Linked DNA regions of Arabidopsis thaliana. The protein of the gene in region 2 interacts with the protein of the main gene of each other region in a biochemical or structural test. Each region holds a gene or a part of one and is shown on either strand. Other genes may lie near its edges.

Region 1 (5,476 bases), on a different chromosome or scaffold from region 2:
TTCGTTAATCAAGACAATTGGGAATAACAAAACAAGCATCAAAGATATTGTTATATGAACGTAATGATCTTACGAACGAAAGACAGACACTTTAACAGAATCTGTTATAGATTTGTCAACGAGATGAAGAAAAAAAGTAGCCTGACAAAATTACAAGCATGCGTATTTGCAGAGGGCTATACCAAGAACAACATAAAAAGACTCAAGGGAAGCTGGAACAGTAGGTGCAAAATGAGGATGATGCAGTATGTCAGAGACATGAACCATATGAAGTTCCCTAAAGCTTGGAAATTCAAGTTTAAATTTAGCTTAGAGGAGATCAAAATGACAAAAAACAAGTTCTGTTGTGAGGTGGAATTCGAGAAAGCTGCAGTGCATGTTGTTTGAGAACTTGAAGAAACTTTTGGGACATAGGCTTATGCAAGATGTTTCTCGCGAAATTGAAGCAGTGCATGGGAAGGAATGAGAATTAATGTTCAAAAGTCTGGATCTGGCTTGTCAAAGCAGACTATGAAGCCAAACTATGAGTGTGTGTTAATGTCTATGGAGTTGGCCATTCAACAAAGGATATCAGAAAGTCAAAATTGAGCTGGTTATACTCTAGACTTTTCAGGAACTTCACTTTCCATTGCAGCTATTTTGAAAATGTGTACAGAAGGTGAGGATATATGGTTACATTTGGAGGACGACTTGATGAGACATTCTAGACTACTTCACATCTCTCTCTTACAAAACACTAGGACAGTGAGGGTGTTGTGTTTGTGGTTCCAACATGTGCACATGCACCTACTTGATTGTGTGATGTGGACTCGAGAGAACATAGATGTGGAATAGTGGACATGTTTCAGACTGAATTACACAACTCATTTTTGGTGTGGAGAAGTTCCACATAAAGCACAAGTGGAGATTTAAGCTTGTACATCCAGTTTGGGAGTTGGAGTTTAGTTTGGATAGTGTTAACTCTGGACAAAGAAACTCTGCTACAAGTTCCAAAGTACAAGACAAATTGTCAACTAAAGAATTTTCTGTCAATTTACAGCAACTGGCCACAGTTTTGCACAATTGTGAGACACAAATTAGTGATTCTACAGAAAGTGAGATTGAAGATAGCTTGGGTCATCTTTAAAATCAAGTAATATTTGTTGAGAGTTTTTTTGATAAATATATTTGCTGAGAGTTGGCATGATCATTCTGATTTGCTAATGTTAAAATTTGAAGTCATTAATGTTATAGGTTTGCTAATGCAAATGCAATTATAAGCATGACGTGACACGACCCACATGCTCCTCCACATTTCATTATTATACACTTGTTTTTCCACTAATGTCATGTTACTTTTGGAGACTTGCTAATTGAATCATTATTTGTTGGCACAAAAAGAACCTATATTTATTCAATTACGCAGTATAGTAAGATTATTTATTTAATTATATGTAATAAAGGAGAAAGCTTTCTTATGGTGTGATGAAGAATGTCTTTTTTTTTTCATTGTTAGAGAATCTTTATAATCATTAAGATTTTGGTTAAAACAAAAAAACGCGCGAATTCCGGCTATTGGTTTATCGAAACCTCTGGCTACAACGTTGGCTTTGTCATATTTTTTTTTTGTTCAAATAATTAAAAGTCAATTAATTAGTGTCACCATCACAAAATATTAAGAGATCCTCCACACACAATAAAAAATTTAGAACAATTCTTTTCCATTTTTGGTTTAAAAATAAAGTAATCACCAATTTGTTATTATTGTTTGTTATTTTCCTTAATCAATTGACCAAAAAAAAAATCCCACAACTTAATTTCACCATTCTTTTTGATGTTCTCTGTATTACAATTGTCAGAGAAGTTTTCTGGATGATCTTTCCTCTAAAGTTTAAAGCTTTTTTTGGTCAATTCTTTTAAAGTTTTGATTTTTTTTTGGTTAATTCTTTAAAGTTTCTTTCTTTCTTAAAGAGGGATCATTATGATGATGATGATGATGATCTGATCTGTACATAAGAGAATTAAAGAACACCAACAACAACAAAAACAGAGGAAGAAAATAAAAACCAAATTTTTCTTGTTGCAATCATTTGAAATTAAATTCAATTCTTCGATTCTTCCGAGCTGGTTCTCGAATTGGGTTTGCTGCAAATTGTGAATCCAATAAAATTTGTTCGTGTTGTTGTGTTGATGGTGATTTGTTAGGGTTGATCCGATCAAAATTTCAATTTTGTATCGTAAAACGATGAGGTTTCTAAGCCTCGTCGGAAACTCATTCGGTTGTTCTGCGTCCGGCGAACGCTTAGTATCAGCGGCCAGAGACGGTGATTTACAGGAAGCTAAAGCTCTCTTAGATTACAATCCAAGACTCGCTCGTTACTCTACTTTTGGCGTTCGTAACTCTCCTCTTCATTACTCCGCCGCTCAAGGCCACCACGAGGTAACTGTAATTACTTGAAAGATCAATACTTTGTAAGATTAGAGATTCTAAAGTTCTGACTTTTATGGTGATTGGTGATTTGGGTTTTGTTTATCTTCAGATAGTTTCTCTGTTGGTGGAATCAGGAGTTGATATTAATCTCCGGAACTACCGTGGACAGGTGTTGTGATTAGTGTCTTTTTGTTCTTTGCATTATTGATTGGTTTTGAAGTAGTCTGAATACAAGAAATTTTTGGAAACAGACGGCTTTGATGCAAGCTTGTCAACATGGTCATTGGGAGGTTGTTTTGATTCTGATTCTTTTTGGTGCTAATGTAAGACTTTGATCAACTCTTCTGACTGATTGTGATTTAAAAATATGTCAGGGATATTGGAACAATGATGATTGTGTTTCTTGATTGTTCGGGTTTTAGATTCACAGATCAGATTACTTAAATGGTGGTACTGCTTTACACCTTGCGGCTTTAAATGGTCACCCTCGGTGTATCAGGATCTTGCTTTCGGAGTATATACCAAGTGTTCCTAATTGCTGGAGCCTTTTAAAGAATAAGAAAACTTCAGTTGCTGGATTCGATTCTAGGTCAAAAGTGTTTTTTGTAAAGAATTGAGGTAATGCTGTAGTCACTTGATGATGATTAGTTGAATGTGTTCTTTGGATGTTGTGGTTGTAGTGTTCTTCACGAAGTGATCAACAGAGCAGCAGATGGTGGAATCACACCTCTTCATGTGGCGGCTTTGAACGGACATATAGAGACGGTGCAGTTACTCTTGGATTTGGGAGCTTCGGTTACTCAGGTCACTGTGGAAGATGGAACTACTATAGATCTTATAGGTTACTATCATATGCTCTAATTGATTAACTTTGACAATGAGTGAAGAGATTCTTTATGTGAAAGACTTAATTTTGTTTTTCGCTCCGGCTCTTTGATTTTATATATTGAAGGTGCTGGGAGTACAGCTCTCCATTATGCTTCATGTGGTGGAAACACGCAGTGTTGCCAGGTATACATGCTTAACTAGACAATCATGATGCTTCTGTTATGTTTCGTTTAAAGTTCACATATGAATTCATTTGGCATTTGTTTTTCTCAGCTTTTGATCAGTAAGGGTGCTTGTTTAGCTGCCGTAAACTCCAACGGGTATTAGATCACTCTATTTCTCAGCATGCTAAATCCAATCAACCAGTTTGATATAGACCTCAATGTCTTAATTCGCTTCATGTTTTGGTTTTAGATGGACACCAATGATGGTAGCTCGTTCATGGCACCGAAACTGGCTGGAAGAAATCCTGAACCCAACAACAGAACAACCACAACTCCATTTGCCAAATGTCCCCTCTCCTTTCCTCTGCCTTCCTTTAATGAGCATTGTCAATATTGCTCAGTATGTAAACTTTACACCTAACTGAAACACCCTATATGATCGCATGATCTCTGTGGCTGATTGGTCTTTTTTCGTTTGTGGATTTCAGAGAATGCGGCTGGCGAGAAAACGATTGTCTGACTCCATGTCGTGACCCTTGTGCCGTTTGTTTGGAAAGAAAATGCACTGTGGCAGCAGATGGTAATGTACCACTTTCACTACCGAAAATGATCTTTGCTTAAAACATTGAATTGATTGTTGTGTGTGACATAACAGGATGTGCTCATGAGTTCTGCACAAACTGTGCATTATACCTAAGCACCACAAGCATAACATCGTCAAAGACCTCAAACGTCACACCAGGCTCTGTCCCGTGTCCTCTCTGTCGCAATGGCATTGTATCTTTCACCAAACTTCCCCATACAACGGCAACAACAAGAACATCAACATCATCAAGAACAAGCATCTCCTTGTCCTTCTGCACTTGCTCCTCTGATGTCTTAGACACAGCTCTCCTAACTAACCCTCACTACAGTTGTAAACCGGTTGTGTCAAGAACGGGTTCTCGAACTCCACAATCCGCTAGATCATCAGCGTTTCGGTCTCTTAGCTGCCGCCGGTTTCCTCCAAGTCTCTGCCTTGGTGGCTCAGATGTTGATGAACCTCGAAGCCGGTTAATTGGTGGATCATATTCAAGATCCGGTGTAGGATTCAGGCGATCAACGTCGCAGGTTGAAGGGAAACGTTCTTGGTTTTCTGCACTTAACCATTGTGTTACAACCGGTGGAAGTGCTTGCTAACTCAAACTCAATCCTCTTTTTTTTCACCTTTTTTATAAAATTTTTGATCCCAGTTTTTTTGGGATTAAAAATGTGCTAATTGATTCTGTGAATGGTGTGGTGATTATTCATTTTGTAATAAGTGAAAATGTTGTAATACAAATAATTAATTTGGCCTTGCCATTACATTGAAATGGTGTGTATATAAAATTATGTTTGAGAGTGAATTTCTTGCGTAGCCATTAGCATCGTTAAGGTATCACTTATCAAACACTTAACAGATAAACGAAGATTACATATATTTAGATAGACGTTTCAGAGGAACTAATAACTGAGAAATTATGGGATTAGTAGTGAATTATACATAAAGCTCAGGAGGAATAGAAACAACAAACCAATACAAAATAAAATACAAAAATGAAGAGAAGATAAAAGAAAATAAAAGAACAATACAAAACTAATAAGCCTTGCAAGGTCAAGAAAAATCTTCTAAATTATAGAAGAACTTTCTGATTTAGTAGAAACAAAACTATTTTTTGTTTTTTTCTGTTTTCATAGAGAAAAAAAAAAGCTCAGCGAGGATAATGCCAATGGAACACTAATGTCCAAGAAATCTTCTTCTCCGTGAGATAGTCACACGTTCGAAAGTACAACCATGATGTAGTGGAGAAGATAGAAAAAGTTGAAAGAGAGAAACGATCATCATTATGATCATAAATATCATGATGATTATGATGATGATCATCATGATCCTAATCAAGAAGAAGAGGAATGATATATATGATGCTTTTGCTCTGAAGTGATGATGTGAGAGGGCAGGTGAAGTTTGTGTTTATATAGGGAAATAAGAGGATAAAATTAATGGAAGCTAGACCAGTACTATTTAAAACAAAAAAAAAACATTAATGGAAGCCAT
Region 2 (4,869 bases):
TTAGGCCCAAATAAGCCAACAGAGAGTCTTTCACAGAAGAAGAAACTACAGTTTGACTCTATCCAAACCACATGTCGATATATTAATACACGTGTCAGATGAGTACTCTAAAGCGAACCGATTTCATCCTTGCAGTCCGGGCACCGATTCCGGTGAAAGAATCACCGTCGATAGTCTCATCGAACATGGATCTTTTTGTTTTCTCACCAATAAAAAGCAATCGAGGCTCATGTTAAAGATACAACAGCTTAATGCTATGATAATTAGCAACGGAATCCACTTCTTTTCTTCAATTTCATTCTCAAATCTCTGCAAAGATTTCTATAAATCAAAACTCAAAAGAAAACAGATCGGATAAGAAGCATTAGAAAGCGAGATTGCTTTCACTCTATCACCAATATGTCTCATATGAGAATTATTAAAAGCAAAACATGAAAATTAAAAAAAAAAACAGAAGAAAAGTCGATCTACATCGACGAGAGAACCCAAGAGCCAGCCAATGCCGGTTATGTGAACAAGACGCTGCCGGACTAGAGCCAACCAACACCACTACTGGAGCCGGTGATGTCGGACAAAATATCCGAAAAGTCGGGACGGCTAACTACCGAAAAATATTCGGTCGATGAAACTTAATGTTTATGTAATGATTAATATGTTTCACAATAAATATTATCATTTTTGAATAAATTTTTGTTTTGAAATATTTATCGTTTTAGGATTCCAATATCGCTTTGATTAGAAATATATAGTTTGTTCCTTCTTATAATCAATAAACAAGTAATATGTTGGAAGTCCAAAAGCCAATTTATTGTTTGGGAGGTAAAATATCTGGACTTATTTTATAAAAATTCTGAATTTATTTTTGAATACCGTTTATAAATAAAAGAATGTTTTGTAACAACGACACTTTATTATTTAGGCGTGTATTAGAAATTTTTCTTTAGTTTGTGTGAACATCTTTACAGCCATATTTATATTGGAAATGCATTAAGGAGTTGTAGATTATAGTAGTAATTAATTGTTCATATTTAAGCCACAAAAAACATATGTTAATTAGCGGAAAGCATACCTCGTAAATGACATGTTTGTCTTAACTGTGAGCACTCACTTGGTGTTGTTAAGCTTTGAAAATGATCATATCAAAGTAAGCATTGTCGTAGTATATGTATTTCTGTTACTTTTCAAATCTTCCCTCATATTATATAGCCATTGATATCATAGAGGATGTGAGTTTTAACTTAATATTTACCCGTTTGAAACTAGCTATTTACTTAAATATGAATTATAATCTAGTTTAACTACCAAAAACATCATATGGGGACAAGAAAAAGTAATAAAACGTATGGAAAATTTTGTAGATGTTATAAATGGATAATTATTCAAGTGATAATCTATCACTTTGATCTTATCTCTTTATCCAATTTAATTACTTTGTCTCTAAGTGATTTGCTTCCAAAATCTAAGTGTAGTCTATCCTATTTCTATCTTATCCTATCATATAATCTTCTATATATATGTGAGTCCGATGTTGTAAAGCGTACGAGAGAGAGTAATGAAGAGTGAAGTGTTATATTGTTCTCTCGTCCACTTCCACTCTCTCTTTTATCTCTTACTTACTTCTTCGTAAGATCATTACATATAATAAATAATATTATTTATGTTTGTGTTATATTTAATAACAGTAAAAAGTTTTAAAACGTTGAAAAAATTAGCCGACATAGAATACAAAAGAGGGTTAGCATCGGGGGAGAAACGTGGACCAACATGATACACCCTCCAAAATAGTCCCCAAGTTGAAACATTGACATGTTTCGCTTTTTCTTTTCTGTGTATACTTTTTTTTTCTGTGGGTCACATTATTTAATATTTGTATACAAGCAGCTATTTTACATGGAGATTTCCTGTCGGTATAGCGTCCTCATTTCTCCATCGCTTCCACTTTTTTCCTATACTAATTTGATCTAATTAATTCATATGTCAAAACATTAAGAAAATGAAACTCGTAATTCATACTTGAATTTAATAGATTAATTAAAATGCTATTTATTGGCAAAATAAACTCGGTTTATATCTAAATTTTAGAATCACTAAAACTTTTTGCCCAAAAAAAAATAAAAATAAATCACTAAAACAAAAAACAATCAAAAGAAAACCCATGTTGGTAAATCGGATAATGAAAATAATTAGAATCCCCGTCCTTTGTGTATTTTGGCGTAGCATGAAACTATATAATAAACATGCATTCATTCTTAGACTTCTCGTAGCTTATCAACAACAACGCGCTCGATCTCTCTCAGCCTGTCTGACAACTCTTTCTCTAGTTCTAGAGTTTTCAATTTATTGTTGAGCCTTTTATTAAAAAAAAAAAAACAAGAACAAAAGAAATGGTTCAATTGTCAAGAAAAGCTACATGCAACAGCCATGGCCAAGTCTCTTCGTATTTCCTTGGTTGGGAAGAGTACGAGAAGAATCCTTACGACGTTACCAAGAACCCTCAAGGCATTATCCAGATGGGTCTTGCGGAAAATCAGGTAAACAAATATTATTCAACAGCATGTGATATATATATACTTATGTATATCATGACAGAGAGACTAATTTAAAGTATGTTTAATTTTATTGGATTTCTGTAGCTATGCTTTGATCTACTAGAGTCATGGCTTGCACAAAACACAGACGCAGCCTGTTTCAAGAGAGATGGCCAGTCTGTTTTCCGGGAACTCGCTCTCTTTCAAGACTACCATGGCCTCTCTTCCTTCAAAAATGTAAGATTATTAATTGTATTTATCAAATTTATTTGTAGGTTGCTGATCTTGCTCGAATGATTTTCAGGCCTTTGCTGATTTCATGTCAGAAAATAGAGGAAATCGAGTTTCTTTTGATTCAAACAACCTTGTGCTCACTGCTGGAGCCACTTCCGCAAACGAGACTCTAATGTTTTGTCTTGCAGATCCCGGTGACGCTTTCTTGCTTCCCACGCCATATTATCCAGGGTTAGTCCACTGTTTGCTTACACGTAAAATTTCCATCATTCCTACGAACTTGACTTAACTAAAACTCATGTTTATTTTTGTACTTCAGGTTTGATAGGGATCTAAAATGGCGAACCGGGGTTGAGATTGTACCAATCCAAAGCTCAAGTACTAACGGGTTTCGCATAACGAAACTTGCACTCGAAGAAGCCTACGAGCAAGCCAAGAAGCTTGACCTAAACGTCAAAGGAATACTCATCACCAACCCATCTAACCCTTTGGGTACGACAACAACCCAAACCGAACTCAACATTCTATTTGATTTCATCACCAAGAATAAGAATATACATTTAGTAAGTGACGAGATATATTCGGGCACAGTATTCAACTCTTCAGAATTCATCAGCGTCATGGAGATTCTAAAAAATAATCAACTCGAAAACACCGATGTTTTGAACCGAGTCCACATTGTTTGTAGCTTATCTAAAGATCTAGGCCTCCCTGGTTTTAGAGTTGGAGCCATTTACTCCAATGACAAAGATGTCATCTCTGCCGCTACAAAAATGTCAAGTTTCGGCCTTGTCTCCTCCCAGACACAATACCTACTATCCTCATTATTATCTGACAAGAAGTTCACTAAGAACTACCTTAGAGAGAACCAAAAACGGCTCAAGAACAGACAGAGAAAGCTCGTGTTGGGTCTAGAGGCCATCGGGATCAAATGTCTGAAGAGTAATGCGGGACTCTTTTGTTGGGTCGACATGAGACCTCTCCTTAGATCTAAAACGTTCGAAGCGGAAATGGATCTTTGGAAGAAGATTGTTTACGAAGTGAAGCTCAACATCTCTCCTGGTTCGTCGTGCCATTGTGAAGAACCGGGTTGGTTTAGAGTTTGTTTCGCGAACATGATTGATGAGACATTAAAGCTTGCTTTAAAGAGATTGAAGATGTTGGTTGATGATGAAAACTCAAGTAGAAGATGCCAAAAGAGTAAAAGCGAAAGACTAAACGGTTCGAGGAAGAAGACGATGTCAAATGTCTCTAACTGGGTTTTCCGACTATCGTTTCACGACCGTGAGGCTGAGGAACGATAGTCCGGTTTTTGTTTTGAAGTTCTTTTTTTTTGTTTCCCACACATTGCAAGTGATTCTGTAATTTTTTTTATCACGAGAGAGAGTGTAAAAAAATGGAAATGCAACGTGCTTACTCTGATCCTAGATTTTAGAAAACCGTTGAAGACTTCTTAGAGCAAGTCCATCGGCAGTTTTTAATGGGTTTCTAATGGGTTTCTAGCTAATTAAAAGTCCAAAATTAAATGAAAACCCAACTAAATAATTAGGATCCATCCCAATATTAGGTTTTTTGGATGGGTTTTTAGACGGCGACGTGGTCGACTGTGAGTCGTCGGAAAACAAAAAAAATCACAACACTCATGTTTTCCTTTTTCCTCTCGTTTTTCACTTTTTTGTTTTGTCCGACGGCCGGCGATTCGAATCGATTTGATCTCCGGTGTATCGAACATGAAATCGGGAGAGAAGAGCCAAATCATCGACGACTTGGTTCACCAATTCCATTCTTCGAACCATACTCATATAAGAGTTTCTTGGCTTCTCTCTAAAACTCTTCTAATTTTCTGATATTGTTGATTATACATCCTTACCCGGATGTGAAGCCAATGGCATATGCAAACAATGATTAAAAATGTTTTCTCTTCCTTTAAGCTTATCCAGCAACAGTTATTCTCATGTAGATTCAGTTTTTCCCTTTTTCAAATTTTTTTGTTTTAAAAACCCACTTAAAGATTCCACCAATGAACCATAAAATTTTCAAAAACTCTAAAAAATCTCTAAAATACAAAACTATCCAAATTTATCAATAAAAAAATATATAAAAACTT

The links.
Region 1: of the proteins of ACS4 (region 2) and XBAT32, one has a biochemical effect on the other in vitro, tested with the Arabidopsis thaliana proteins (one study listed by BioGRID).

What each region holds. Positions count from the first base shown.
Region 1 is NC_003076.8:23,393,894-23,399,369, reverse strand, and holds XBAT32 (uncharacterized protein), read left to right. Parts: upstream 1-1,719; 5' UTR 1,720-2,224; coding exon 2,225-2,419; intron 2,420-2,519; coding exon 2,520-2,579; intron 2,580-2,661; coding exon 2,662-2,733; intron 2,734-2,832; coding exon 2,833-2,999; intron 3,000-3,090; coding exon 3,091-3,251; intron 3,252-3,362; coding exon 3,363-3,421; intron 3,422-3,511; coding exon 3,512-3,558; intron 3,559-3,652; coding exon 3,653-3,802; intron 3,803-3,890; coding exon 3,891-3,982; intron 3,983-4,057; coding exon 4,058-4,581; 3' UTR 4,582-4,785; downstream 4,786-5,476. UniProt on the Arabidopsis thaliana protein: E3 ubiquitin-protein ligase that mediates ubiquitination of ACC synthases (ACS). Negatively regulates ethylene biosynthesis probably via ubiquitin-dependent degradation of ACS4 and ACS7 enzymes.
Region 2 is NC_003071.7:9,716,988-9,721,856, reverse strand, and holds ACS4 (1-aminocyclopropane-1-carboxylate synthase 4), read left to right. Parts: upstream 1-2,262; 5' UTR 2,263-2,384; coding exon 2,385-2,531; intron 2,532-2,633; coding exon 2,634-2,765; intron 2,766-2,832; coding exon 2,833-2,993; intron 2,994-3,081; coding exon 3,082-4,066; 3' UTR 4,067-4,255; downstream 4,256-4,869. Other genes in the region: AT2G22820 (uncharacterized protein), read left to right, coding at 432-626. UniProt on the Arabidopsis thaliana protein: 1-aminocyclopropane-1-carboxylate synthase (ACS) enzymes catalyze the conversion of S-adenosyl-L-methionine (SAM) into 1-aminocyclopropane-1-carboxylate (ACC), a direct precursor of ethylene.